3 linked regions of the Rhinolophus ferrumequinum genome follow. The protein of the gene in region 3 binds, or shares a complex with, the protein of the main gene of each other region. Links are inferred from orthologs where the notes say so. Each region holds a gene or a part of one and is shown on either strand. Other genes may lie near its edges.

What was found.
Region 1: the proteins of CAB39 (region 3) and STK11 are in contact, whole or in part, in a crystal structure (PDB 2WTK), measured with the Homo sapiens proteins. The link is inferred for Rhinolophus ferrumequinum from reciprocal best matches to the Homo sapiens genes CAB39 and STK11. Residues at the interface, in NP_001124321.1 of Homo sapiens: Gln109, Gly111, Thr112, Lys196, Leu197, Leu238, Asp239, Arg240, His241, Phe243, Met246, Ile250, Val280, Ala283, Asn284, Pro285, Glu317, Gln318; in NP_000446.1 of Homo sapiens: Gln100, Arg103, Arg104, Glu165, His168, Ser169, Gly171, Leu201, His202, Pro203, Phe204, Ala205, Ala206, Asp207, Asp208, Phe234, Arg301, Ser307, Arg310, Lys311, Lys312.
Region 2: the proteins of CAB39 (region 3) and STRADA are in contact, whole or in part, in a crystal structure (PDB 3GNI), measured with the Homo sapiens proteins. The link is inferred for Rhinolophus ferrumequinum from reciprocal best matches to the Homo sapiens genes CAB39 and STRADA. Residues at the interface, in NP_001124321.1 of Homo sapiens: Leu26, Glu27, Lys28, Gln29, Tyr55, Gly56, Thr57, Asn58, Ala85, Asp86, Gln88, Leu89, Phe92, Glu93, Lys96, Arg107, Glu138, Leu141, Ile145, Ser176, Thr177, Phe178, Asp179, Ser182, Asp183, Glu221, Asn222, Tyr223, Val224, Arg227; in NP_001003787.1 of Homo sapiens: Pro64, Leu104, Glu105, Cys107, Ser108, Asn109, Val112, Gln116, Leu119, His120, Lys123, Leu124, Phe125, Asn126, Thr136, Phe137, Ile138, Asp140, Asn141, Leu143, Tyr185, Met189, His223, Gly224, Arg226, Val426, Asp427, Asp428, Trp429, Glu430.

Annotation. Positions count from the first base shown.
Region 1 is NC_046301.1:61,655,523-61,665,190, reverse strand, and holds the start of STK11 (serine/threonine-protein kinase STK11), read right to left. Parts: upstream 4,122-9,668; 5' UTR 3,871-4,121; coding exon 3,581-3,870; intron 1-3,580. UniProt on the Homo sapiens protein: Tumor suppressor serine/threonine-protein kinase that controls the activity of AMP-activated protein kinase (AMPK) family members, thereby playing a role in various processes such as cell metabolism, cell polarity, apoptosis and DNA damage response.
Region 2 is NC_046304.1:42,345,205-42,354,940, forward strand, and holds the start of STRADA (STE20-related kinase adapter protein alpha), read right to left. Parts: upstream 4,817-9,736; 5' UTR 4,683-4,816; intron 428-4,682; 5' UTR 384-427; coding exon 348-383; intron 1-347. UniProt on the Homo sapiens protein: Pseudokinase which, in complex with CAB39/MO25 (CAB39/MO25alpha or CAB39L/MO25beta), binds to and activates STK11/LKB1.
Region 3 is NC_046291.1:7,495,370-7,505,563, forward strand, and holds the start of CAB39 (calcium-binding protein 39), read right to left. Parts: upstream 4,457-10,194; 5' UTR 4,092-4,456; intron 1-4,091. UniProt on the Homo sapiens protein: Component of a complex that binds and activates STK11/LKB1. In the complex, required to stabilize the interaction between CAB39/MO25 (CAB39/MO25alpha or CAB39L/MO25beta) and STK11/LKB1.

The sequences.
Region 1 (9,668 bases), on a different chromosome or scaffold from region 3:
GGAAGGTGGTCTCGGCCTTGCTTGACCCAGCCTGGACACCGGTGTGTCCATTCGCAGAGCCACCACCCCTTGCCAAGGACCTGGCCACACAGGGGGCAGACCACCCAAGGGGAAGGGACAGCCCAGGTGGCTAAGCACATCATACTACGTCATTTCCCAGACACGGACGGCAGGCACTCACCAGAAACGATACTCAACAGAGAAGAGGTTGACACTGAGCTGCCATGGACGCCAGGCTGGATAGGCTGGGGGACCAGCGGTCTGCAGCAGCTTATCAAATACATGCATGCTCCCTGACCCAGAAACTCCACTTCTGGCAACTTGCTAGAAGTGGAATCGAGGTGCAGCGTCTGTGCAGCTGTCCTGGAGGCTATCCTATAACCTGCAGGGCTGGACCCACTCACTGCCTGTCCCCCAGAGTGAGCCCACCAGGTATGGAACTGTCTCTACCTGCAGGAAACCCTGCTGCCCCCAGATAAGAGGGAGCGGGGGCAACCCTGCAGACGCCTTTTATGAGCCTCATCTGTGCAGTTCTACTGCCTAATGGAAAGAGAAGTAAATACAACTTATTTTTAAAAAGTGATCCTTAGGAGAGTTACACTTTGCATTAAAAAGTCCTTGGATAGGGTAAGAAAACACAAATGAAAATGGAAGATGTGTTGACATTAAAATTATGATTTTTTTTTTTTTTTTAAACATCCTAATGCTTTTTGGAAGAACAAATGAGAAGGGACAGGTGCCTTCCTGGAGGAAGCCCCATGAAAGGAGGGGCATTCCAACCTGGCCCAGCACCTGGGCAAACGTTATTTCAGAAAAAGCTGGAGCCGGCCCAGGGGCTCAGGCGGTTGGAGCTCCGTGCTCCTAACTCCGAAGACTGCCGGTTCGATTCCCACATGGGCCAGTGGGCTCTCAACCACAAGGTTGCCGGTTTGACTCCCACAAGGGATGGTGGGGCTGTGCCCCCTGCAACTAACAACGGCAACTGGACCTGGACCTGGAGCTGAGCTGCGCCCTCCACAACTAAGATTGAAAGGACAACCACTTGACTTGAAAGTCCTAGAAGTACACACATTGTTCCCCAATAAAGTCCTGTTCCCCTTCCCCCCTCCCAAAAAAAAAAAAAAAAAAAAGCTCTGATCCAAACTGGAGGCCAGCTTGTCCGGAAGGTTCCGGACAGTCCAATAGGAGAGATGACTGGAAGTGGAGTCTATTCAACCTCTGGCAGACAAAGGAGCCTTTTCCCCCTGCAGCCTATACACCCCTTCCCTTCCCCTGGGCACCACAGGCCCATACGAGGCAGGCCCACTGCATCACCAAGTAGGGACTTGGTACAACGTGGCAGGGGCTTAAGCAAGATCGCAGCTGCCACCAGTGGACAGGACAGCTCGGGGCCTGCACTGCACTGATGAAACTGCGTGCTGGCACGGTGCACTGCGCCTGACACCTTATGCTGTCTAGTTGGCTGCAGACCACAAACCACTGGCCTCCCTGGCCTCAGTTTCTCCTCCAGTTCTTCCCATGGACACTGAGGGACCCAGCTGCATGCAGCCCTGACACCACACACCCACGTCTCCTGAGGTTCTTGGGATCTCGGCTGACCCCTGAGGAAAACAGAAGCTGGACACCAGCCATTCTGCAGCCTTCCAGCCAGGTTCCAGTCATTTGTGTCTCCAGTAGAGCAGGAGGGAAGTTCTTGACGGTGAAACACCCTCGAACTTGACCTTGGCACGTGTAAACTGCGTCCTTACATCTTAGCAAGGGGGACCCTCGCCCACTCCGACACTGCCCCCATGGCAGCTGGGGTCTGCGGACCTTTCTGGGACCTGCTCAACCCTGCTGCCACCAGTCGGTGCCCTGGTCGGGTCTACACCCTGAGGCACCCCTGCAATAGGCAGCAGGGTGGGCTTGGGTGACTAATTAGATCAATTGGTGCTGGAATCCCTCCTACCTCCGGGTGCTGCTCCTGAGGGGCCTGGGGTGCACGGCATCAGTGGTCTGCACCAGAACACATCGATGGACCAGTGCCCATTCCAGGACAGATGCGGGATGAAGCCCAAGAGGAATGGGCACTGTTCTCCAGGCCAGAAGAACAAGGGCTGCCCTGGAGAGCGGGAGGTGGGGGGTTCATTTCCAGAGGGGGGCAACATTCTGGATGTAGGAGCTCACTGCCCTCAACCCAAAGCTGTGGCAACCTGGCAGCTTAAGGGCCACATTGTCCCCATGCGCTTCTGGCTTAATGAGAAAACCTGACGCAGAGGCCAGCAGTCCAGTGGGGGTTTCTAACTTGAGGGTGAGGCTCACTTGGCCCTCAGGAGGGCTCAGTCGTTCAAGGCCTCAGTCTCCCCCAGGACACTGCCCAAAGCCCACCTCACAGACGCTTGCGCAGAGAGAGAACTGACCAACTGGTCCTAGGATACGGGCCACACCTCCCAGTGTCCACAGGCTGGGCTATAAAAAGGCCTCATCAAAACACGGGCCCACCTTGCCCGCTGCCCAGCCCACATGCCCACCTGCAGGCTGCTCTCAGTACAGACACTGACCAGAAGCCCTGTCAGTTCGGCCCCAGTTCTCTGCTCCATGACCCATTTCACCTCCCCCAGGCTGTCCCAGAGCCAGTGAAAACAGCTCCGCTGGCTTACTGGGTGAGAAGGAGGGGATGAAAGCAGAGCCGGTGAGTGGCACTTACAGAACGGGCGTGGGAACCAGCCAAGGTCAGAGTCAGTCCTGCCACCTAGCCCGTTAGATAAACCCCTTCTGGGAATGTGGAGGCTGCGAAGAGTCTGGGGTCGGCAGGATACTCCCTATCACGCAGTGATAAGCAATGGTGCCCCTGTCCTGAGACCAGCTAGAGGAAGGAGGCAGGGCCGCCCTTGAGGGACTCCTATGCGCACATCCCAGCACGGCCAGGATGCCTAGGGGCAGACGGTTCATGAAGAAATTTGTGTAGAAAGTTCACCAAGACACAAGCAATTCCCCTCTGGGAGTCACTGGGCCTGCAGTCACTAACGTCTACTATCATATCCCAGGCCGGCGGGGAACGAGCTAAGTCCCCCACTGCTGACTGATAAGCCGGTGCAAACAATTATTTTTGGCAACCCCAGGGTTCCCCTCCAACAGGATAAACAAATCGCGTTTGGCCTGGCGCTAGTACCGGCTGCTCGCTGCGCGGAAAACCTGCTGGCCGCCAAGGCCGTTTCCGTGCAGAAACTCAGGGCCAAACAAGCACTGGCTGGTTCCACCAGACACCTAAGTGCTTTGGCAAAGCTGGGAGGACGAGGGGGGAGAGGGACATACTCCTGCTGAGGAGGGCTTTGACACTGGCGCCCAAGAGCCCAAAAGCACCAACGCCCAGCAGCAACCAGCTAGCTGACTTTATGAAAGTACTTAAGCAGGTTTCCAACGACACTTTCCCTGGCAAGGAGGACACAAGAGGCGGCTGGTCAGCTCAGGTTTTTAAGGAAAGAAGGAATGGAGGAGGGAGGGAGAGAGGGGAGGGCAAGAAGGGAGAAGGAAAGACGGAGGGAGGGAAGGAAGGAAAGGGGGTGACCCTGGTGCCCCGAGGCAGGAAGCCCAAACTTACTTCTTCACGTTGGCCTCCCCATTGGGGATCCTCCGCAACTTCTTCTTCTTCAGGATTTTGACGGCTCTCCTGCACAGCGTCTCTGAGTCCAGCACCTCCTTAACTTTGCCGTAGGACCCTTCCCCCAACAGGTCCCCCATCAGGTACTTGCCAATGAGCTTGGCCCGCTTGCGGCGGGGCTGGTAGATGACCTCGGTGGAGTCGATACGGTGGATGAACGTGTCCATACCCACCGACATCAGCTCGCCCTCTGTAAACATGCCCAGCTGCTGCGGGTCTGCCACATCCATCCTGGACCCAAGGCCTCTGACTCCCACTGCCGGCGGTCCCTTATCCCCCTTTATGGATTCCCCCGTGAGAGATTCTTCTTTTTGTCCCCCGCCCCCCCCCCCACAAAAAAAATTCCCTTCGCTAAAAAAAGTCAACAAAAACGCAAAAGAAAAAAAAGAGAAAAGAAAACCCTTCTTCAAAAAGAAACGATTGTACTAAACGTAAGTTCAAGAGGCGTGCCTGGTCCGGGCCCCAGGCACCCGACGGTGAGGAGCGTCACAAGTTTGGGTGCCACCCGGCCTGGCAGCTCCAGGTAGGGCCGGCGCGTCCACGGGGGCCCTGGAGAGGCCGGTGGGGCTGCGAAGTGCTAGGTCATCCTCCAGGGACTTTAGACCCTCGGACAAACACGGACGCGGCCGAGCCAAGTCTTCTCCGGGCCGTCCATTACCGGCGGGCCACAGCGCGCGCCCGGAGCCCCGCCGCGGCCGGCCGGCCCCGGGGCCCCCAAAGCTGGACAGACGAGCTTCGCTGGGGACCAGGGCGTCTCGCGGCAGCCCGGCCGTCCTGGGCGTCCCGAGAAGCGGCAGGAGCCTATACGGCTCGGTCCGCTACCGCCGGCCCCGGGCGCGCGTTGGGTGGTCCGGGGGCCGCCCGGGGGCCTCCCGGGGCCCTCCCGGCACAGGGAGCAACTTCCGTAGGATCCGGCCTGGGACCCCCGAGCGGTTGCGCGGGCCCGGCGAGCGCTCTCCGCCCCAAACGGCAGCCTGCGCTCGCTCTCCGCCCCGAACGCCGTCGGCCGCGGCCCTCGGAGCGCGGGGACCACACGAGGCTCCGGGCGCCCGAGAAGGCGCAGGTCGTAGGCCCCGGGCCGGAGGTTCCCGAGGCCGCCGGGGCCCGGGCGGCGTGTCCCCCGCCGCGGCCGCCGCACGCGTGGAGCAGGCGGGGCGGCGTGGGGGCCCAGCCCATGCAAAGCGGCTACGGTGCCGCCCGGCCCCGCCGCCGCTGCAGCCCGCGCCCCCGCCTCACTCGCGGGCGCCCCGGTCCGCCTCCCCCTTCCGCGCCCGACATGCCGTCGCCATCTTGTTTACCTCCCGCCCCCGCCCTGAGCCGCCGCGCCGCCGCACACCGCTGCGGGCCCACCCCTCGCGGTGCTGACGTGCCCGCCCGTTGGCGGAACGGACATGCCCCGCCCCCAACCCTCACCCCACCGCCTCCTTCGATTGGCCCGTTTGGACCCGGGCGGGAGCTCGAGCGGGGATTGGTTCGCACTCGGCCCCGCCCCAGGGGTGGATATGGCTCGTCCATTAGCCCACGGAGGCGCCCGTCATGGGGCGGGCCGCGGGCGTGGAGCGGTGAGGTTGTGGAGTTGACCTCGGAGGGGTTTGGGCCTGGGGTCGGAGGTTGCGAGCGCCATCGGCCTCCTCCGAACAGCTGTGGGGTGGGTGCAGTCCTCGGGGGACCCAGCAGGATGCCTGCTCGGGCCCTCTCTCCGCAGACACCCCGCCTTGAGTTGAGGTCAAGGGTCAGAAAGTAGCCCCCAATGGCCAATTCAAGGCAAAAAGCCTTGATTAAGCATCTGTGGGGCAGGAGTGAAAGGGAGGTGCGCTTGACTGTGTCTACCCTAAAGGAACTCGGATGATGTCTAGGGCGGCCTGTGGGGGGGTCTCTGCTCCCGCTCCCCACATAAGAACGCAGGACATGGTATGGCCAAAAAGGAACACCCATGGAACCATAGATAGGGGAGTCACACCACTATAGTCTCACTGGAGGCTGGATTCACAGGACATGTGACCTGCTGTCCGCTTTTCTGCCAACCAACCAACTCCCACTCCCCAGCCGTGGCAGTTATATTAGTGGCCAATCGGCTAACCGGCTACAGCTGACGGCCAACTAGCCACAGCCAAGGGCCATCTACTACCCGAGCCAGCACCCCTCCACGTGAGGCCGTGAGGCCGAGAGCCTGGAAACTACTCTCCGGGGCTTCGTCCCCACAGATGAAAACAGAACAGAGCTGGGGCTGTCCCAGCAAAGTGCTGTCATGCAGCGTGTCATGCAGGATCTCTGGTCCCACTCCCCACATACGAACGCAGGACATGCTATGGACAAAAAGGAACACCCACGGAGCCATAAATAGGGGAGTCATACCCACTATATTCTCGCTGGAGGCTGGGTTGGAAACACAGGAAGCAGGAGCCACACTATCTGCAACCTGCCGATCACCTCTGCGCCAACCAATCTCACTTGCTACCTGCAATCCGCCGTGCTAACTGCAAGCCGCTCTCGCTAGCTCAGCCACCATCTTCTTGCTAGCCCCCATTTTCTGCTAGCATAGCCACGGCAGTTATATTAGTGGCCAATGGCTCACTGGTTACAACTGACGGCCAACTAGCCACAGCTGATGGCCATCCAATCACAGTTGATGGGCATTTACTACCCGAGTGAGCACCTTTCCACATAAGGCCGAGAGCCTGGAAACTGCACTCCTGGCTCTGTCCCCACAGTGGTTTGGGTGAAAAACAAAAAGTTCACAGAATACACCTTGAAGTTTAAAATACCTCCCTTGTTCCAGGCCCGTATTTTCTACCTTTCTGCTTTTTAGCAATAGATTATTTTGCCAGAACAAACTGTCTTGTGTGAAGCTCCTGATTCACAATAGTCAAAAAGTGAAAAACACTGGAAGCGGACACATCGGATTTGGGTTCCAGAACCCCAGGCAGGGGGTTCTGAGTCCATGAGCTGTGAACTCCGTAAAACTGAAAAATTGAGTGTCTCCTGTGCATGTTGTTGGGGATGGGTCAATCTGTTGAGTTACATCAGATTCCGGAATGACCCACATAAGGGGGACTAGCGTGGTTTTGGGAATAGTAGGAGCACAAGCTGCACCAGCTTATCAGCAAGCCCCAATCAAAATACGTGCATCAGCCTAAAACTCCTTTAGAGAAGGAAATCATAAAGAACAGAACAGAAACCGAGGAAATAGAAAAAGAATAGGGAAAATCAATGAAACCAAAACTTGTTCTTTGAGAAGATCCAAAAACTTTTACAAAACTCTAGCTAGATTGGCCAAGAAAAAAAGATGACTGATGCCAGGAATGAAAGAAAGGATATCGTCACCACAGACCTTGCAGATATTAAAAGGATTAAATACTAGGGACAGCTCTACATCCATAAATTCAACATCCTACTTGAAATGGACTAACACCTTGAAAGACATTAAAATGAAGACTTTAAGAAGAACAAATTGTCTGCATACCGTGTTTCACCGAAAATAAGACCTAGCCGGATAATCAGCTCTAATGCATCTTTTGGAGCAAAAATTAATGTAAGACCCAGTCTTATGTTATGTTAGATAAGACCAGGTCTTATAGTAAAATAAGACCAGGTCTTATATTAATTTTTGCTCCAAAAGACACATTAGAGCTGATTGTCTAGCTAGGTCTTACTTTTGGGGGAAACAGGATAGTCTTATATCTACCAAAGAAATTAAATCTGCAGTGAAAAACCTTTCAACAAAGACAATCCTCAATAAAAGGTCTCCCAGCCAACTGAGAAAGCAATCTTTAGTAGAAACTGAGAATGCACTCCTCAGAAGTGCAAGAGTCTGACTTAATACAGTGAGACCTTCCCACCCCTAGTCACTGATTGGCTCATTTCTATGCAAATAAAAACTCCAAATCGGCAGTTTGATCCAAATAGTACCATTCTGATTGGTCAGTTAAGATGCAAAAAGGGATAGAGCTGCACAGTGTAAGTCTGAGTCCTAATGGTCAAACTTCCATCCTAGGAGCTCTCTTGTAAGGAAGGGTTGACTCGCCCTGCAGGAGCACAGTGCAGGAGGCTGGCAGCCCAGTCTGTGGATTTTCTCTAACAGCAAACATGCAGCCTGGGTGAGAAGCCCCTGTAAACAATGGCTGCTTGACTCTGGTTATGAATCTGGGCCCAGTTAACCACAAGGAGTCCTTCAACACAAATAAGGCTCAGATGGTCTCATTGGGAAATTTCCACCAAATATTTCAGGAAGAAGTAACATCAGTTCTAAACAATCTCTCCGAGAAAACAGTAAAGGAGGGAACCCTGCCCAACCCAAATTACTTTTGGTGGTTTTTTTTTCTTGATTGCTGGCTTATGCCCAAACTTCTTGGCATCTGGGGGCCCCACTCTCCTTCACAGAGCCCACAATCCTCTCCTGATATGTAGAACATGTGGAAGGGACTTGGGAACTATCAGGTGGCCAATGCAGGTGGCCATTCTTCTCTTCCAAGAAGCAATCCTGGTCACCCCCTGGAACATAGGCCCTTTCTAGGCTGATTTTCTTCTTAATCCTTGCCTTGTCACCATCAGATATTGTCTCATTTATATATATATATATATATATATATATATATATATATAATCTTTTTTTTTTAACCCATTTTTCTTCTGTTTCTGGCACTAGACGGGGAGCTCTCTGGGGCTGGGGCTGGGGCTGGGACTGGGACTCTCTTAGTCACTACTGCACCCTCAGCAATGAGAGTTGTGCCTTCCAGTACAACAGCCATTGGCCACATATATCTATTAAGCTCCTGTAATATGGCTGCCCAAACTGAGATGCGCTATAAACTATACATTGGGTTTCAAAGGCTTATCATGAAAAAAAATGTATTTATCAATATATCATTAATGACTATGAAAAAACACAGTAATTTACACTGATTTCATGTTGAAATGACATAATTTTGGGTATGTTAGATTAAAAGAAATAAATTATTTAACTTCATACCCACTAGGATGGCTGTGATTTAAAAAAAAAAAAAACGGACAATAAGAACTATTGACAAAAATGTGGAGAAACCAGAACCTGTGTAGAAAAGATGTGGCTACGTTGCTAAACAGTCCAAAGGTTAAACACAGTGTTTCTGTATGGCCCAACAATTTCATGTCCACACAAGGACTTGTCCACAGATACAGCAGCAGGATTCACAGCAGCCAAAAAGTGGAAACAATGCGAGTGTCCATCCACAGGTAATGGACACACAGTCTGGCCCACACACTGGCGTGTCACGTGGCCATGACAGTGAGGCCGTGCCCCTCGCCGTAACGTGGATGCACCTGGAACACGATGCTCAGTGCGGTTCCATTTACGTGAAGCATCCCCAGCAGGCACATCAGAGACCGTAAGTGGGTTAGTGGTTGCCAAGAGCTGGGAGGGGGGATGGGGAGTGACTGCTGATGGGGACAGGCTGCTTTTTGGGGTGATGGAGTCACTTTAGAACATTCAAAAGTCCCCCCGCCTGCGCCCCCATCGTAGGTGAGCAGACTGAGACTTGCAGAGGGGAAACCACCGGCTCACAGTGGCACGGGGATTCATACCTGAGTGCCTAGCCTGGGAGCCCCCAGGAACCCTGTAAGGACTCCAGCACCATCTGCTCAGGGCGATGCAGGCCTTAGGGCTGCCCAGCTGTCTGTCCTGCCAACACAGGGTTCGTAGCAAGCATCAAACCCACCCAGGCAGGCCAGTATGGAACCAGATTTGGAGGGCCCTCCCCAGCATCATGGGGCCTGAGACCCCCGTGGGGGCTGTTCTCTGCCTCTCCAGGGACTCTCACTGGCCCCAGCTCTCTTCTCAGCAGAAGTCCTCAGGTGGGAGGTCTTGGCCTCACTTTCCCATTTCTCTGAAAGGGGAATTAACAATACCGTATGTCAGCAAATATGAGGCCACTGGTAGTGAGATCTACTAGTACTTCACGAACCACCATGAAAGGCAAAGACTGAGCAGCCAGCAATGACACACCGGGTTGAAAGAAGCAGCCTGATCTCTGGGAAGGTAAACTATGACAAA
Region 2 (9,736 bases), on a different chromosome or scaffold from region 3:
TTTTAAAACACACAAACTCACTGAAATTACACAGGAAAAGGACAGATCGTTAGGAGTTACATATCTACACATTCACCTCATTTAATGTTGAATGACTGATAGTCACAAAATAAGCCATCTTGTTTCTTCTCTATCAGACAAGCTGGGTGAGGTATTGTGTGTAGTCTGGTCAAGCTCTGCCTGCAAGCTCTTTTCTCAGGAGTGGAGGCTGCAATACCTGCCTCATTTCCCACACCCATTTCTGTATGATTCTCAGCATCACATAAAAAACCACCTACAGTATCTGCCAAAACACAGTGCTTTTCAGAAAATGAAAATAGTAAAGCCAGAAGAATAGAAACACTCACCCTAATTCGCTCTGGTTTACTTACAAGAAAAGACATGAGTTCCTAATGTGTAGACCTATTTCAATGTCAAAAACTTAAACCTAAAAGGAAAATAGAAACAGGTTGAGTTAGTCAGATCTCCTTTTTTAGAAATATCTTTTGATTAACAAAAACTTCCTACAAGTCCACTATTCAAAGCACCGTACTAAACCTAAAAAGGGCTCGATACTAAAGATTTGTTTAGAGAAACTTTCCTTGACAATAAACATAGAGGTACTTAGGCCAAGTACATTCTGAAATACTGCAATCTCTGTAAGAAAAGTTTATTATTATATGGTTTTCTTCTTTAATTTTTAAATTTCTGTTGGCCCAACCCCCCACTGACCCTTTCCCAGAAGCAATTACCTTCAATTCTCTTGGCTGTTTAACCTTTTTATCACCATTCTTAAATAATGTTCATATGGCCATGACTTATTCATTTTAGACATTCATCTACTAACTTCCTACCCTGGTAGATGACGACTAAGCGCCCCTGCGTCACCTGCCTGCACTCTGCCTTCCTGCCTTCAACATAGTTCTGGCGTAATTTTTGGTTAAATCAATAATCCACATTTACATTACTTTGACTATGCAAACATGCTTCGTAGCTGAGCCAATAGGTAAAGATGACCATGTCTTCTTTCTCTACACCCATTTTTTCCCAAAAGTTAATAACTGCCTCCTTTTTTCATTTCCTTGGTTTGCCATGTAGCAATACCAAGTGTTGCCAAGGATATCAATCAACTGGAACTCTCACACACTGCTGGTGGGAATGTTAAAATAGTTTAATCGTTTATGACCCAACAGTGCTACTCCTAGGTAATTCAAAAAAAAAAAAAAGAAAACATATGTTCACATAGACTTGTACATAAATGTTCATGATAGCATTATTCACAATAGCCCAAAATTGGAAACGATACAAATAAATGTCTACCAACTGGTAAGTGTATAAACAAAATGTGGTATATACACCAGTGGAACACTACTCAGTGATAAAAAGGAACAAACTACTGCTACTGTGTTTCCCCGAAAATAAGACATAACCAGAAAATAAGCCCTAGCATGATTTCTCAAGATGACATCCCCTGAACATAAGCCCTCATGTGTCTTTTCGAGCAAAATTTAATATAAGACGCGGTCTTATTTTCAGGGAAACACGGTAGATGCAACAATATCACATTAAATGAAAGAAGTCACACAAATCTACATATTGTTTCCATTTACATGAAATTCTAGAAAAAGTTAAATGTTGTGACAGAAAGATCATTGGTTGCCTGGGATCAAGGGTGAGACGAGGGACCAACTTCAAAGAGATGAGAACTTTCAGGGGCGAGAGAAATATTCCATATCTTAACTGGGTCGTGGTTGCATGACTCTATCTGGCAAAACGCAACAAACTACACTTAAGATAGGTGTATTTTATTGTAGGTAAATTGTATCTCAATAAAGTTGATTTAAAAAGTAAAATGACTGAAATAAGTACTCAGAAATGCTTTTGAAGAATCTAGAAAGAAAACCTGCCATATTTCCCTTTTTTTTGAGGTGTGCTTGTGAGGAGTTATGGTAGTGATATAGCAATGGGGGTGGGACTTAATTTGGTACATCGAGTTCTAGGAATCCTTAGAACTGCTTCAGAGAAATTCAGAGAAGCCTCCTGCCCACCGTGTTGAGAATCATGTATCCTGCCATGAAATAGTAAAAATATAGATTGAATTTGGAAAAAAAAAAAAGTAGAATATACACTGTTTAATAATATGCAAAAGAAATTTAAGGGGAAACAAGGTCCATATCCATATGTAGTCTACAAGAGAGAGAGACTATTAATGTAGACGAGAGATGAATTTTATCTACAGAAAGAATTGTCTATGCTCTGGGAAAATATTGGAAATAGAAAGTAAAGCCAATTGCAAAACACTGCATAAACTACTGTAACTGCCCATTTGGAGAGACCTAAGAACTGGCTCTAGGCGGCCACATCTACAGCTTCATTAATGATCTGAACCACTGGTTCCAAAACCAGGATGTGTGTCAAATTAACTTGTGTAGTTCTAAAAACCTATGGATACCTGAACTCCCCACCTTCAAAAATTTTAATTCGGCAGGTCTGGAGATACACAAGCACGAATGGGCAACTCCTTATGGAGTTCAGTGAAGGGGAAGATTACTGTAATGGGTGGACCTGGATAGGTTCATGAAGGGGTGGGGCTCGAATGTCAAACAGGACTTAGAATGGGATTTCCAAGCAGGAAATAGTATTAGCCACTGATAATTTAGTGCTTACTTTGTCTGCTCCACAGGTGTGTCTCCGTTTCTAGAATAGTGCCTACGACATAGTAGGTACAGAGTAATATTGAATGGCTGACCGAAAGTGCTGAGGAGTGTGTCAGCATTTTGCATATATTTTCCAGTTAACATGAAGCAGTTACAGAAGCAGAACTCCACATGTATGAGAGCAATGAACCGGTCTTAAATGCATGCTCAAGTATGGATTTTATTCAGCAGGCAACAGAAAGCCACTGTAGGTTTTGAACAGGGGACAAACACAAAACAGTGGTATAAGGTAGTGTCTCTCAAACTTTATCGTGCATGCAAATCACTTGAGCATCTTGTTAAAATGCATTTTGATTCAGAAGGTCTCAAGTGGGGCCTGGTGCTTCTAACAAGCTCCCAGATTATGGCAATGCTGCTGATCTGTGGACCATCATATTGACTAACATTTCAGAAGCCCTGTTCTAAGGAACACAGAAGGAGTATTAATTTGCAAAGGGATGGGAGGAGACGTGGAAATAACCCAGAGAAAGGAATGCCAATTAGAATACAATTAGAGTGGAACCATATTTTTGGTGATAAGAGCCTGTGGCAGAAAGAATGTTAAGAAACAGATGGATGGGGGAGAAAAAAACAAAGAAATTTTGTTTCGTTAGTAAGGACACAGTAAATCTCTAGCCCATCCTCCACCCTTTAGAGGAAAAGCGTTTACAAACTCCTGGATATAAGGTTCTCTAGTCTGCTTGAAAATGTCCCATACCAGACACTACCTTCTCCAACTCACTACCTTATCATCAGCTCTGATGACTCCAATGTGTGTGTGTGTGTGTTTTGTCTCCAAGTAACTGGGAAAAGAAGAGTGTGTCAACCACAAAACAGGAAAGCTCAGAGGTGGAAGTGGTTTTGGTGGAAAGATGAGCTTGAAGTTTTAAATCATATCGCAGTTGAGAAAACAATTATATGTTCCAAGTGGAAATATATACATAGCATTCAGTTAGAAAAGTTAAGACTGATGCTGGAGAGAGAGGTTAGAGATGGCTATGGGCTGGGAGTTAGCAGCTAAAACAATACAAGTGACGGAAATTCACTGAAGGAGAGAAGGGTGAGAGAAAATCAGCAGGCGGGAAGGCGAGCTTTTGGGTCCATAGCAATGGCTGAATAGCTCCTGGCCTGAGACAAGTAATCAGGTGAGATTTGGTTTCTACTACTCTCAGGGACAAGAAAACAGTCTTGGGTTTCTCTAGAAAGTATGATTCAGTCAATGAAGAATTGTCTTATGCTGCAAATAGGTACTGGAATATGGTTCTACTTGAACGGATTCTACGATAATAGAAGGAGCAATTCGAAAGGCTTATCCTTTTTGGGGGAAGTCAAGTTGGGAAATGAAAAGGTATCTGAGCAGAAGGCTAGACAAGTAAGTTAGTTCCCCATCTCCTGAAAACTTGAACAATTTTATTTAACCACTCCCCTTCCCCCGTGTTCACTTCCCTACCCTCAACACCCCCCGCCCCCCGCCATCTCCTCCCCAAATCTGTGGGCACTTAAACATTCTTGGAAAACAAGACAGTTAGGAGCTCTTTGTTGTGTCTGATTCACGGAGTCACCTAGGTTTCTGTCCTTAAGGGGGCTTGACCCGCTGCCTGTCCAGCCTGGGATGGAATGGGAATGGGAAGGGGGCGGGAAGTAAGCACTGGGAGGTGCCGCCTCTTCGCTACAGCAGGACAAACTGACACCTGGGCCTCAGGTACGCCACCTGGAAGTTGGGGGGTGGTGGGGGAGAAGGGGCGGGAAAGCAGGAGCTTGCCTCTCCCGCCTAGCAACTCCGCTCTTGGGTCTCCCCGCCAGGCCCAAGCCTATTCTGCTTTCCGGCTGCAACCCCTCATTGCGGGAATCGAGGACTCGCGTGAAAAGGGGGCCGTGGAGGGCGAGGGGGGAGAGCCGGGATGGCCGCTCTGACGAGGAAGGCCCGCCCCGAGGAGATGAAATCGGCGTCAGGGAGAGGAGGGACTGATCCCTGGAGCGCAGCAGGCGGCCCCGCCAGTCCGGTACCTGGTCCTGGAGTTAGCACGAAGTCCCGACCCCGTCTCAGCTCCGCCTCCTCAGTTTATATCCTCGCCGCAGCCCGGCCGGTTGCTGGGGGGGGGGGGGTACGCAACGTGCCATGCGCAGTTAGAGGGACCCCGGGAGAGCTGGAGGAGAGTTCCGCCCCGCCCCGGCGAGGGTGAGGAAGCTCCGCCCCGCCCCGCCCCGCCCCGCCCTGATGGGGAAGCTCCGCCCCGGCCCTCCCGGCCCTCTCTGTTGGGGAAGCTCCGTCTGATTTTCCCGTCGCTTCGGTTGCCGCGGGCACCCAGCAGCGACAGCGCGGAGTTGCCGTTCTCCGGGTGTTGAGTTCTTATTCCGCGCAGCGCGTACCAGAGGCATTCCGTTTCCCACAGAAGGGACCCGTTTCCCCAAGTGTGTGGAAGCCAAAGACCTAGTTTGTGGGTGAGCACTGCAGGCTTCGGAAAGGACTCCCCAGAGCCTTCGCCCCCGCAGCAGGAAGGAAGTAGATGATTTCGATCATGAAGAGTCAAGGGGACTAGAGTAAGGCTAGCCAACACTGGCTGCTGACTTGGCTACTTTGAGGATTTTATTTTCATTTCGTGTGGTAGGACTTCAATGGGAAAAAAACCTATCGCGCTCTTTTCATTGAATACATCTCAAAAGCCCCTCACTTTGGCCTCTCCGGCACCAAACTGACAAGTGCTAAGGGGAAACTCACCTTCTCTCTGCTTCAGGTTACTTCTCTGTAAAAGGAAGAAAATAGCTCAATCAATGGTAACTATCATTTTTATCCTTCTGGATCTTTTCGTTTCTGGATCACTCCTCATTTGCAACTCATGTTTTGTTTGCAGAAACCTGTAAGGTTTGCCTTGATGGGAAAGCTAGCCTAAGCCAAGGCAGGCAGCGCTTGAGAAATGATGAAGCAATCAAGTGATGGAGCAAGACTCCCTTCTGTGAAGTTGCCTTTTATTCACTTGACTTACTTAGCCCATGGAGGAGGTAGTTCCAAAATTGGATATATACCATCAAGCTCTTCCTAGTTCTGACCCTTGACACAGATTTATACTGGTCTAACTTCCAAGGTGGGGGAGTTCAGTTACATCTAAACAGGGACAGAAATGTGACTTTGAGACTGAATATGAACTTTGCCAGTAAACCGATTTGCACCTCAAGGTCTCATTCAATTTTATATACATCACTTTGATCTTATCTAGTGGTTTAACATTCCAAAGCACTACTCTTACTATTCTCTCATCCTCAAAATACAATGCCTCTCTCAGCAGCAAACTTCGTAAATTGACAAAACAAGATAGCAGAAATTGAAGTAAAATTGTTGGTGATGTTCTTTTGGAAAAACCTTCTTCCCATGTGGTCTTTGGAGTTGGGGGTACTAGAGAAGTCAGTGCCTGCAAAGACGCCAAACTTGATGCAGCCACCACAATGAGTAATTTTAAACATGGAGGTACTTCCCATCTGTTCTCATAGCCCAGTAGCTATGTTATTTTCTAGCTGGGTATCAGTCTACCAAAGGGGTTGAAAGATCTCACCATCTTCATGACTGCCTACAAAAGCTTAGTTAGATGAGGATGGAAAAGGGGCCACAGGTTAAACCTGACAAGCTCAGGAGACTGAAAATAACCACATAAGATGGGGTGAACATAAAAAATTCCTATGTAAAAGAGGTACCTGTCTCTCCAATTTACTTTTATCCAATCCCAGAGATTTCCCTGCTTTGCTTTCTCCCACACCCTTAATCTACCACTAATGGATTTCATGTAACCCTCCTCTTTTGATTCTATGTATAAAATAAGCTGCAAACCGCCCCTTTGCAGAGCATTTTCTTAATCCCTTGAGATTTCGCTTCCCAGCAATTGTCATCGGTTTGGCTCAAACAAACTCCTACAAGCTTTCTCTTAGGCAGGGGGTTTCTTCGTCGACATAGCGAACCTTTTGACCCAGATTCTGTTCTGACAGTTTCAAGGAGCAAATTTCCATTAAGTTTAGTTTTCCAGGGCCGACTAAGTCCAGAAAACTTAGAAAACCGGCGTTATAAAAGGTCAACTTGCAGTATTTACAGTCAATCTTTTCCTGTTTTGCTTTTGAATTATGATCCCTGCGATGCACAAGCCCTCTGATGCTTTTCACCTACTTATAATAAGGGTTGGGGCTCTCCCAAGATTTCTGGAGCATTCTGAAACTGGCTTGAAGCCTAGAGGAGTGGATATGGACTGATGATCCTGTTTTGTTTGTAACTCTTTGAGCATCCAGTTTAAACTAAGGGCACTGCCCTCTTCAAGATACCACATAACTGTATGAAAGGTAAAACTAATTGCCTAGAACACACAAGTGGAATGCTTATGATGTGTAGTTTAACAAGTTTAGCAGGATTAATTTGCACAGCATTTTATATGTCAAAGCACTTTATACATGTTATCTAATATGATCCTCGGAACAGCATTTTAGAAAGGGGAGAGTAGGTAATGCTCATTTAGATGAGGAAACAGACTTGTTAAAGCACTATGACAGCTTCCAGGTTCCTGCCAATAAATCCAGGGCTCTTTCCTGAAGTGGAAAACTGGCTTCAATTCTAGCTTTGCTACAACCTTACTAAGTGATACAGTTACATGCAGGAAAAAGAAGCAGAAGAAAGAGCTATTTAGTATTTAAGTTGAAAATGTGACAGGAAGGCACTTAAGAGTTCTCCCTCAAGCAAAGGTGACACAATAAATAACCTAGACAGATGTAATATTATCTGATTTCCAAATAACTCCCACAGAAGTAAATACTTAAAAAGGCCTGGTATCTTTTAAACAAATAAAGCTACACTATTTGGATAAAACCAAATAGATGAAATCAGAGGTCAGTTAATTTTTAAAAATGGAAATAAAAAATAATATCCATTAAAAGTGATGTAGTAATAGACACAAGTTTCTCCCTTTCAGGAAAAAAAAAATTAGCTTCCCCTGAAATTGGTATTACTTCTCAGTTCATAGAACTGAGAAAATGACATTCAACTGTGCAAAGATAAAAACCTTACACTTACTTCCAAATGCGAATAAATCTTTGATCACCAACAGTTATGCTATAGGGATAACTGTTTCTCATCTCTTACACCCATTCAAATCATTCAAAATGAGTGGAGGCAGGAACAGTAAGAAGAGAGAATCCAGCACGATAAAAGTACAGTATTTCACCACCACCCCCATCAAAACAGATTCTTGTAGACACTGCTTTAAATAATTTTTACATTGCCAATTACTATTGGATGAGTGGAATGAGAAAGAAAAATCAATGTTTTTCTTTGGTGTAAGTCCCATCTAAAGAAAACAGTTTCACATCTGGTACTTGACAGGAAAAGGTTCTATGAGTAAGGAAACAGAACTGTAAACTATTACCCCCACCACGGAAAAAGAAAAACCACAAACAAAACTAAACAAAACAAACCAACCCTGTCAAATTTTGCAGATAAAGAGAACTCTAAAAGGATCTGTTTGGTTTCTATTGGGAGAAAGGAAAGCAGAGTAAAGCAAAAGTGCACCACTTGGAAAATAGTTCTAGATAAAAATGCTGTAATTTATTAGAGAATTTTACATTTATTATCTCCTGTTAGGGAGAGAAAATAATTATTATGCTCACTTTGTAAAAGGAAGAACAGAACAGAAACTCAAAAGTTAGTCAGTGACTTGTCCAAAGTCAAAGGATTAGTTATAGGTTTTGGTGGCAGTAAAAGCCAGGCCTTTGTCTTCCAGTCCCGTGCTTGCTTTGGCACTGCTGTGCCCAGGCAGTGCAGACAAGATTGGAGGGCTGAATGGTTTCCCAATGTGACAGACAAGTCAACAACATTCTCCTCTCTTTGCCGTCTCGTTCATAGGAGAGGAGATAATGGTGTCTTAACTCAAGACGGGGACTTCGGGGAGGACCCCATTAATAACACCTAGGGCTTTAAAACTACAAAACATTAAAAAAATAACCGGGAATTAAGGGATTGTTGTCAAGGCCAACTCTTTTGAAGGAAAAGCATTCCAGTGACTTTTACTGACTAGAAAGAACATCCCTATGGGCTTATACTCTTGTAGGGAAACCCCAGAAAAGTAAAGGCGGCACTCTGAGATTTTTGTCAATGAGTTTAATGTATGTCCATAGGTAGTGCATATGAATGCTTACATTACAAAATTAGCTGCCATGGTCCAAATGTGTGGGACTTTAAGAAAGCTTTCATCAAAAGATAACTTAGCCTATCAATTGTGATTTCTATAATGTACTTTAAAGGTTTGTAAAACAAGGCTAATTCTAGAATTATATAGCATTACATTTTATGTTATTTTTATTATTTTAATAACTTAATTTCATGAACTGTTAAAAAAAAATATTACATTTGCATCTCCCAGTTTACACATTTCTGCATTAACCCAGAGAAAACCCCACGTGAAGTTTCCATGCAGTTACAAAGGCAGCAGCACATGCTGTTTCCACAGCAGCTTGGTATTGCCTCAGACACACCTGCACATAAAAGCGTCCACAAAAAAATACCCGCCCACCCCTCTCCCACCAAAAAACCCAACCATTTCCCATCCCACCCAAAATTACCTGGTACAAGCAGTGACTTAAAAAAATGCTTTCTTAGAAGGAAGCATTTATAAAATGCAGAGATCTGAACAAGCTAAATGCTTGTGCAGATAGATGGGCCTCTCTCCCAAGAGTTCCTCCCTCAAGAGGCAGAAAGAACTCTCCAAAGTTTAGGAAAGCTCATTTTTAAAAGTATCCTTATGCATATTCATGGCTATTTCTTTGAAAGAATATACCCAGCCTCAGCTGTGGAAGAGATCAAAGCAGAAGGAGAAGCAAAGAGACACAGCCATAACACAGAGAATAGAGGCTCTCCAGGAACATCCGACAGGTTGCAGCGACCAAGAAGGAAAACATTTGTGACTTCACACAGACCACTGATCTGCTCTGGTTGAAGCAGTTAATTTTTCATGCACTTGTTACTCAAGAAAAACATACAATCACTTAAAATACAGCATTCACGATGTCATTAGCTTATATCACGTAAGGAGAAA
Region 3 (10,194 bases):
ATTATAATATAAAACCAAACTGCCACTGAACGTTGGTTAGCTAGATTTTCTCATCTTCATAACTATGCAAATGAAAACGCATACATACACATAAACAAGCAAACACAACCCAACAACTTAAATACTGCATTCTCAGTATGAAAATCTCACGTTCGACACAACGTGTGGAGGATTAGGCGAACAGCACGTGCTGAACATAAACGTGCCGACATAAACGGCCAGGGCGGGCTTTACCTCCCTCCTTTGGGCCACTTCACACCCGACTGGCCTCTTGTAATTCCCTGCATGCCATTCTCCCTTCCTCTGCCAGTTTAGCGTCACAGTTGCTAATAAACCGCAATTCTGCCTTCACTGCACCCCTTCTATCTCAAGTAAAAGCACAGTGGGGCCAGGAAGCTCAGTGAGGCAGAAATGGCACATGGAAGGGACACACACCCAAACCTACACCCTCCCCTCAAAAAACGAAAGTTGATGGCAACAGGCTGTCACTCGTCATTACCATCAGTCCGTCATTCGCCGCCCGGTCCTTCAGGAACTCCTCCTCACAATCCTGGGAAGCCCCGAGAAACAGAAGCAGAACACACATTTTGGCATTTACTCCGACTAGTCTCTTCTACAAATGCTGGTGGTAGTAGAAATACTTGTCTCACCTTGCTCCACCCCCATACTCTGACTGATAAAGGTAGTGACTCGGGTCCAGCTGAACAGTCATTAAAGTGGTGAGACACACAGAGGAAGAACTCTCACATAGTAGAGTAGCTCCATTCCTTCTTTAATTAAGGATGGCTCCAATACCAGCCTTCTCTCCAATAAAAAAACAAAATATAGACTGATGACTAAATTGTTACGCAACTTTTAGGCTGCGTGGTTTGATATGCATTCACACGAATACAAGATCTTTACACTTCAATAATTAAACAACAAAACAAGTCACAAGCAATCTAACCCAGAGGTTCCGAGATCTGATCGTCTTCCTCATAATCTTACCACTCCAAAAAGTTTTATCAACATTTTGCCATTTTCCATATTAATCCACCTATGACACTCCTATTTCTGTAACAGCAGACAACATTCATAGAATCAAATTCCTAATTAAAAGAAGCCATGGAAAACAAAATGGATTTTTAAAATAAAAACACCACCAGAAAGGTAACCAGAATATACTACCTAAAATGAAGTTCTACCATATAATATTGGATTTTATTTTTGCGTGCTGTTGGAATCAGGTGGGGGACAATTTGGATTTGTGTCTGTATTTTTATGGAAGATGGTAAAACTGAATTATCAGTGATCAACCCCTCCTTGAAAAAAGGCTCTTGGGAAGTACAGTAGTAATTACAGAAATCTATAACCTACAAAAATTGATCAAAAGAAAAAACTTTAGTAAATATTCAAAATAAACATTTGTAATATACAAATAAAGATTAAAATAAAACCAAATTATAAAACCAAACCCCATTCTTAAACTGGACTTTCTCAGCTATTCTTTTATGTTGACTTTATGAAAATTTATAGTTTAGCTCAGCATCTCATTTTATATGCCATTAGAAACAGGAAGAGACCTCATTAATATATTTTAGAATGTAAAGCACAAGGGGAAAAACTGGTTTAAAGAACCTGCAGTCTGAAATGAAATAAAGTGAAGTGCCTTGAAATAAAAAAACCAAAGTCCCTTTTGTTACAGCAGCAAATTATTTCTAGCAGCAAAATTATTTCATGACAAATTCTATATTTACTAGAGAAATGCCAATAGAAAACTACATGCATTTAGCCTGAATCTTTGTAATGTCATAATCAAAAGTAGTAGCCTATGTGGACAGCCCTCATTCAAAGAATACTTTGGGGGGTGGGGCATGGGGAGGTAGGAATGGAGGTGCATTAGTGTATGGGAGATATACCAGCTACGAAAGTAATCCTTTTTAATGCCTTTTAGAAAAGTACATCCACTCATATAGCAGAGATGTGTCAGACCTCTTTCCTACCTGCTGGCAAGATGCAGCCCAAGTAATAAACAAGCAATAGAATCTAAATTGTACAAAGAAGTGAATAACTATACTTCAAACAAGAAGTCTTTAGGAAAAACTGTCCACAGGAGCAGTTATTAAGCATGACTACTACATTTTATCTGACATAAATAATACAACCTTGTCAGAAAAAAAATTTAAGACTTCCCTTACTTGGGGGAAAATATTTTTATACGAAGATATTTAATGACAAAAATGCTTAATAAGAGTTATATGTAGTTTAGTTCATTATGTAAAGAAAAAATATAACGCTGAAAAGGAAATATGCAAAAATGTTAACAGTAACCAAATATAAGTGGTAAGATTACAGAAGATAATTTTTAAAAATTTTCCAGTACTTCCTGCATTTTACAACTGCTTTTTTTAAAACTCAAAACAATTGACATTCATTTATCATATAAGCAAACAAAGAAGTAAGTGCTTACAAAACCAACACAGGTTCTAAGCTGCTTCCACAGATCGTATGTTTAGGACTTCAAATACAGCTGCCAATTACTTCCTAGTAATTTCTTAAATGTACAAAATAAAACTAAAGACTTTTGCTCCTGGTTCTCCTATAACGATTTTCATTACTAAAAATTAATTTAAAAAAATGAACCTTTCCATAAAAAGGTTCTATGTCACTTTCTATCTCAGAATATTAGTAACAATTTGATTTTGAAAATCATCAATTTAGATTGCTTTACATAAATGCCATCTCAAAGAGGTAAATTATGTTCAGCTGAGTAATTCCAAAGTTTAGACACCTAACACACAGTGCAAGAAGTTTTGATGCAGTTTAGTGAACTGCACCAACAGAAATGCCTTATGTGCAGACGAGCTTATTTTAAACACATCTTTCCATTACCTCCAAGAGCCTGACATCTAAGGAAGCTTTTTGCAAAAGGTTCTTTGCTTGGCCTGGACATGGATTCATTTGAATATCCCGGAAGCTGTCAAAATCGATCTCAAACTGCATTATATTCAAGACACAGAATGTCAACTCTGTACTGGGCCTCCTCCTCTCCTTTCTTTCACAGCAGCGCCTTCAATATCCCGACTAGCTTACATTTCCGGGCTCATGAGTCACTGAGAAATGAGTTCTAGGTTTCCCTTAAACAGCTCCTTTCTAGCATTCAAGGATCTGGCCCCCAAATACCTCTTCAGCCCACCCCCACTTCCCACCATGGGCCTAAGCAACAAACTGAGTTATCCACTATTTCTAGCCTATGCCTTTTTACCTTTGTCCTCTAGCTCTGCTGCCCCTCCACATACCGTCTCTTCTGCAGCCCTCCTCTCACAAATCCTTTCGAGTCTTCAAAACCGCCTTAGGCACCGCCTCGCCCAGGAAGCCTTCCAGATTTCTGCTAAGCGGAAGTGATCGATCAATCGGTCCAGTCTTCCCTGGGTTCCTTTCTAGCACCTTGTAGTTCTTTCACTGGACTTATCGTCTCCTTCCAGGTATCGTGTTATCTGTGTACTAGTCTTATCTCCCATACCAGAGCTTAAACTCCTTGGGGGAGGCGACCGCGGCCCCGGGTTCACCTTTGAATCCCTCCGGTGCGGACCGACCACGGCGCCTGCACGCAGTCAGCGCTCAGGCTGTTTCAACCGAACTCGGGAACGCTCTGGCCGCACAATTCCTAACCAGAAATCAGTTAGGCATTTTCCCGAAAGGGACATCACAGAGATGCTACCTGCCTCCAGATAACAGAAAGTTTACCAGGGGCCAGGAGCGAGGTGGCCGGAGCCCGTGTGCGGTGGGAGTGACAGCTGAGCCGGCCCGCACTTCTTTGCCCTCCGTACTCCGGCCGGGGACGCCCCGAGCCGCCAGCCCCGCCGGAGAACGGCAGAGGGGTGGCAGGAGAGCCCGGGGCTCCCAGACCCCGGCCGCAGGCCCCCGGGCGCCGCGCGGGCGAGAGCAAAAGGGCAAGCCTCCGCGAGGGGCCTGAGCTGGCCCGGGTCGGGCCGCCGCGGCCACCCGAGAAAATGGAGGCAGCCCCGGGGCCGGTGACGGGCCGGGGCAGGGCAGGCGGAAGCCGGGCCGGCGTCCGCGCCGCGAGCTGGGCAGGGCCGGGGGTCACTCACGGGGCTGGGCCGAGCGGCTCCCTCTCCGCCTCCGCGTCGTCGCCGTCCCCGTCCTCGGCCGCCGCCGCGTCGGGCTGCTCGCTGGGTCCCCGCGGCGCGGCTCCGGTGCTCGGCCCCTCCGTTGTCTTCCGCCTGCTTCGACTCCCGGCGACGGGCTCCCGCGGCGGCGGCGGCGGCTGCGCGGGCGGACGGCGGCCCAAAGGCTCCCGCGGCGGCCGCCGCACTGCTGCGCTCGATCGCCCGGGTTGCGGCTGCGGCTGCGGCTGCGGCTGCTGCAGGACCCGGCGCCGCCTTTGCCTTCGCCTACCCCCGGTTCCCCGACTCTCGGTCTCTCCCAGGCCGCGCCGCTCCCCGCTCCCGGCCCGAGCCCGGCTTTGACGTGCGCACTGCGCAGCCTCCCAGGGCGCGACGTCGGGCGGCGCCGCAACGCCCCCTTTGGCCTCGGGCGCCCCCGGGCGTCCGGGAGGACTCAGGGCGCCGGTGTGCGCGCGGAGGACGAAAAGGGAGGGGACACAGAAAAGCAGAAGCCGAGGAGAGGAGTTCCTTTTCTTTCATCTGCCACTTAAATGTGGGTGCTCAGCCCCCTTCTAGTCTGTCTAAGCACGCTTCCTGGAGGAATCTCACGTCCATTTTCTACGACCACTTCCTCAACTCTTAACAAAGCTTTATTTCTGCTCAAGACGAAGGGCCAACTTTGTGTAGACCCAATCTGTCATACTTGCGTGGGACAGATCATTCTCATTTTAGCATCCTCTGAGAGAGAGCGTGGAAAGTGATGGAATGATCCAGATTAATAGCATTCAACAGCGGATTTAAACCCCAGCTCCACTCATTTAGTCCCCACGGGCCGTTTCCTGTCCCTATACCTGGGTTTCTTCACATCAACGCGCGCACAAAAGTGTAATACAGGACCATAGGCTTATGAGGACGAGCGAGAAAATGAATTCCAAAGCCCAGAGAGCAGAGCAGAATCTGGTACATAAAAATATCATCCATGTGTATTTTTGTTTCTGTTGCTTTGTTTGTTTTTAATTTGTAATTGAACAGGTATTTTCGAGCATCTACTGTGTGTCAGGCACTATTTTAAGGGGTAGGGCAGTGAACAACACAGTCCATGCTCCCGAGACAAACAATAAACAAATAAACCAGCACAAGCATGACCTTGGATGGTTTTCAGTGCTATGGAGAAAAACAACATAGGCCAAGGAGGGGAGAGAGGGCAGGGTATGACTATTTATAGCTCTCCTACAGGGAACAGCTACATGAAGAGCATGAGGTGAACTATGTGGGATGCTTGGGATGGCAGAGGGAACAGCAAGGACCACCGCTGGGAGCTGGGAGCCCAGGAGCCCGGCAAGGCCAGACTCCTGAGGGAGGGAAGAGGGCAGAAACAGTAGAGGGTGGAAACCCTACAGACTGAAAGGAGAACTTGGGTTTTTAGTCTGAATGAGATGAGAAGCTATTTGAAGAGTGTTGAGCAGAGAAAGGATGTGGTCTGACATTTCAAAAGGATCGCTCTGGTTGTGTGAAGACCAGCCTGAAGGATGTCAGGGTGTCAGCCATCCTGTTAGAAAGCTTTTGAAATAATCCAGTGCACAGAAGACAGGTCCAGCATGGTAGCTGGGAGGGGTAAGGAAGTGGTTGGGTTCTAGACACTTTTAAAAGGTAGAGCTGACAGGATTTTGCTGATTTCTAAGGGTTTTTTTGTTTGTTTGTTTGTTTGTTTGTTTTTCTCAAGCAACTGGAAGATACAATTTGGTGAAATGGGGACGACTTAAAGAGAAGCAGATGTGAAGGGAGGAACTCTGGAATATATTTGGGGGCATATTAATTCTGAACTACTTGCTAGACATCCAAGACATCCAAGTAGGAAGCTGGATATAGAAGTCAGGGTATGGATGAGACGTCCATACCTGGAGAAAGAATTTTGGGAGTCCTCAGAGTAAGTAAAATCTCAACACTCAATGAAATCATTTAGGGAGTGAGTGTTAATAAAGGGCAAAGCCAAGGATGAGCCTGAGGTGCCAATGCTGAGGTCAGGGAGATGGCAAGGAACCAGCAAAGGATTCTGAGGAGAGGAGCTAGGGTGGCGGGAGGAGGAGACCCAGGAGACTGTATGTACTGGAAGACCAAGGGGTGGAGGACGGATCAATGCCACTGATTTTGACTAATAGTTGAAGTAAGGTTGGTGTTGGTGACTGGTCATTGATGGCAGTGTCATAGAGGTAACTAGTGGCCTTGGTAAGAGCTGTTTCAGCAGGGGTGGGTGGAAAAGCCTGATTGGAGTGGTCTTTGGAAAGAATGTGAGACCCAGAAAGATGTCTAGAAAGAATGGGGCTCTAGGAAGAGAGAGACTATGAGTATAAACAACTTTTCCATGAAGTTTTATTCTAAAGAGGAGGAAAGAAATTTGATGGTAGGTGAAGGAGAATATGGAGTCAAACAGATTTTTTTGTTGTTGTTTTATTTCTCTTTTTCATTTTCGCTTTTAGGATGGAAGCTATTACAGCTGGCTTAAGTGCTGATGGGAGTGATTCAAGTAGTGAGGGAAAATTTGATGGGAGGGGCCACATTTTCTGGAGAGCTGTCCTTGAGTGAGCAAGAAGAGAAGGTTGCAGGGAACAACAGAGGGTCTGGCCTTGACACCAGCAGGACGGCCTTCACTCACAGGGACAGAGGGCAGGCAGATTGTGGGCTCAGAGGCAGAGAGCCCGATGGACGAGGAGCTGGAACAGGTGTCTGTTCCCTTCTGAGGGTTTCTATTTTCTCAGGGAAATGGGAAGCAAGGTCATCAGCTCAGAGTGTGGAGGGGGAGGAGCTGTCGGAAATTTGAGGGAAGAGGAGAAGGTGTAAAGAAGGACCAGTCAACAGGGCTCACATTTTGTTGGGAAGGTGCAGGCGCAGGAAGGTGGGGAGCTGGATTCAACCAGGGCTATTTTTGTTAGGTAACTCCATGGAGCAAGAAAGGACAAAGGAAGGAGAGGGTATATGCAAGGAAGTAATAATAATAATGGCCAACTGTTGAATCCAAGCCAGACTGGAGGCCGTGAGGAAATGGGGGGCGGAGGTGGGGGCAGTGAAAGGGGAGAAACCCTGTAAAAGTGGTATGATGGGTGAAAGGATTGTTGGAACTAGCACAGTAAACAGAGTGAGCTAGGATGAAGGATCTGCTGGCTGGAGAGCCAGGCTGCTTATACTGAAATTAGGACAGGAGCAGTTTTCAGTAAATAACAAGGCTTGGGGCAGCTTCTCAAACTCTAATGTCGGTGTGCATTACCGGGGAGCATGTTGAAATGCAGACAGTGGTTTCATTGGTCTGGGGGAGGGGAGCCCGTTATTCTGCATTTCTAACAAGTTTGGAGATGAGGGTGGGAGGGTGCTGATTATTCTTCTTCTGGTTGTAGTCTTGATAGCAAAACCTCGATAAATGCGACCCCCAAAAAAAGAAAACTACAGCAATCTTGCTGGTGAATATATAGGGAAAACCAAAATAAAAAGTTTGAATATAAGTAAAATAGCAGCATTTTAAAGGTCAAGTCTGTCCCACCATGGACAATTTATCAAGCATATTAGAAGCTGTTAGAAGAGCCATAGCTGTCTAGTGTCTGTCTAGGCCCAGAGAGAAATCAGCTGACGAAAAGTCCTGAGCAAGCTGGTTCCCGAAAAGCAAAGACTCTTTAGTGACCGCGGAAGGGAGGTGCTGGGCCCTTTTGAGTGAGCAGACTACAACAAGTTTTATCTAATTTTGAAACTTTGTTCAGTAAGGACTTTAACCCCACAGCTTTTTTTTTTTTTTTAAGATGAGAGAGTTCTTTTTCATTGTAGTCCCAAAGGGAGACCTTTATTGTGCTGACATCCCACAAAAATAAGTCAAGACCCAATTTCCCACAGACTAAAAGAACGCATGGGGGTGGATAATCTCATATGCAAGGTTTTGATTCCTTTGCTATAAGGGTCTGAACTGGATTCCAGATGAATCTCTTAACTGGGATAAACCAGCCCATTATAGCTGAGAATTGTAGCAGCAAGACGGCAGACATTTCTGGAACAAATTCTGAAGCCAAAGCATAAGGACCCCTGTCATTTGACCACTTGAATTTACTCTGGGGAAGACACCGTTCTCCCTCCTTTCCCTGGGCTCTCTGGAAAGCCCATTCTATTCATATGTTACTTTGTAGGCACGACCTCTTTCTGAGAATTTCCTCCACCTCCTCTTCTTGAAACCCTCTCCACAGAGGCTCCTCACTTTCCCCTCCTGATCTCAAGGTCATAGGCAAGGTCATCATTTTCTGGAGTTAGTGTTGGTCCTGTGTAAATCTTCCATCACTCTCATTTCCCTTCCTCTCCTCCACTGAAGCTGGGCCACAGGATGAAGGCACCTCCCTGCCTCAATCACACCACCTGTGAAAGGACTTTAGCGCATGATTCACAGCTTCCTTCTCCACCCTACCCTGTGCCTGACTTCTCCTGGGCAACATAAGTGCCACTCGTCTAATATGTTGGGTCATAGTTCCCTCATATTCTCTGCCCCAGTGATCCTCACTTCCACTCCACGTCAACAAGCACTTGCTTAGCCCCACCCTGGTCTGTCAGTCACCACTACTGTACCTTTGAAGCTTGAACTCTAAAACTCTCCTGCTTAATTGCTCCTCCCACAGCTGTAAACCCACCAAACCTGCTCTAAAGCTCATTGCATCTTTGTTTATTCAACAAATACTTATTGAGAGCACATAATTACTGGGCACAAGCAGTCTGGCTGAGACATTGAACAGCACACAGTCCCTGCTCTCAATGAGCTTGCAGTCCAGGAGAGTCAACAGGCAATTACAGAAGAGTAAGACATGAAGCATGAGTAAGATTTAGCCAGTTGAAGATGGGAGTAAATGTTCAAGGAAAATCATGGCAATAGCGCCAAAAGCTGGAAAACACAGTGAATTTGAGTAGTTCAATCTATAGAGCTTAGAGCTGGAGCTTGAGGAGGGGAATTTTTTTTATTGCTAGTTCTCCCCACCTCCAGCTTTACTGAGCTATTATTGACATATAACATATGTACGTTTAAGGTGTACAATGTGAAGATTAGCAACATGTTTGTATTGGCAAATGATTACCGCAGTGAGGTTAGTTAGCACCTTCATATCCACACGTAATTACGATTTTGGGTGTATGTGTATGGTGATAATATTTAAGAGCTACTCTCTTACTAACATTCAAGTCTATAGTACAGTATTGTTGGTTATAGTCACCATGCTGTACATTAGATTCCTAGACCTTATTTATCTTCTAGCTGGGAGTTTGCACCCTTTGACTAGACATCTCCCCATTTCCCTCACCCGCAGCCCCTGGGAACCACCATTCTACTCTCTATTTCTATGAGTTCAGTTCTTTTATTTTTTATTTTATTTTCCTCCCTTCTTCTGCCTCCCCCCCAACTCCAGTTCAAGCTGTTGTTTCTCAGTCTAGTTGTGTAGGATAGGACACAGCTCCCTGGCCCACGCTGGTGTTCTGAGCCTTGTGCTGTCCCCCCCACCCCCATGAGGCAGTCGGTCGGCCGCTCACAGCAGCCCACAGTAGCTCTCGCCGGCTGCCGGCCACTCATGCTGGCCTCCGGCCACTCACGGTGGCACATCGGTGACCTTGGTGCTAGGAGCACTGCACTCCAATCACCTGAGCCACCAGACCAGCCTGAGTTCAGTTCTTTTAGATTCCGCATATAGGTGAGAACATCCAGTATTTGTCTTTCTCTGTCTGACTAATTTCACTTGGAAGAATGCCCTCAAGGTGTATTCATGTTGTTACAACATGGCAGGATTGAAGAGGGGAGTTGGCACCAGATAAGGTTGGAGAGATAAGCAAAGGTCCAATAATGAAAGCCACATCATCCATGTTAAGAACTGGGCTTCAACATGAAGGCAGTGCAGGTAGGTTGGGTGTGAAGTGGGCATTGAAACTTTAAGGCATGGAGTGACAAGCTCAGATGTGTACTTTAGATTTAGAAACACCATTCGGATCCTATGTGTGCAGTGGATGAAAGATGGCCAGCCAGATCAGAAGTAGTGAGACCAGTAGGAGGCTGTGTTCATTCTGGCAAGAGATAATGGGGCTA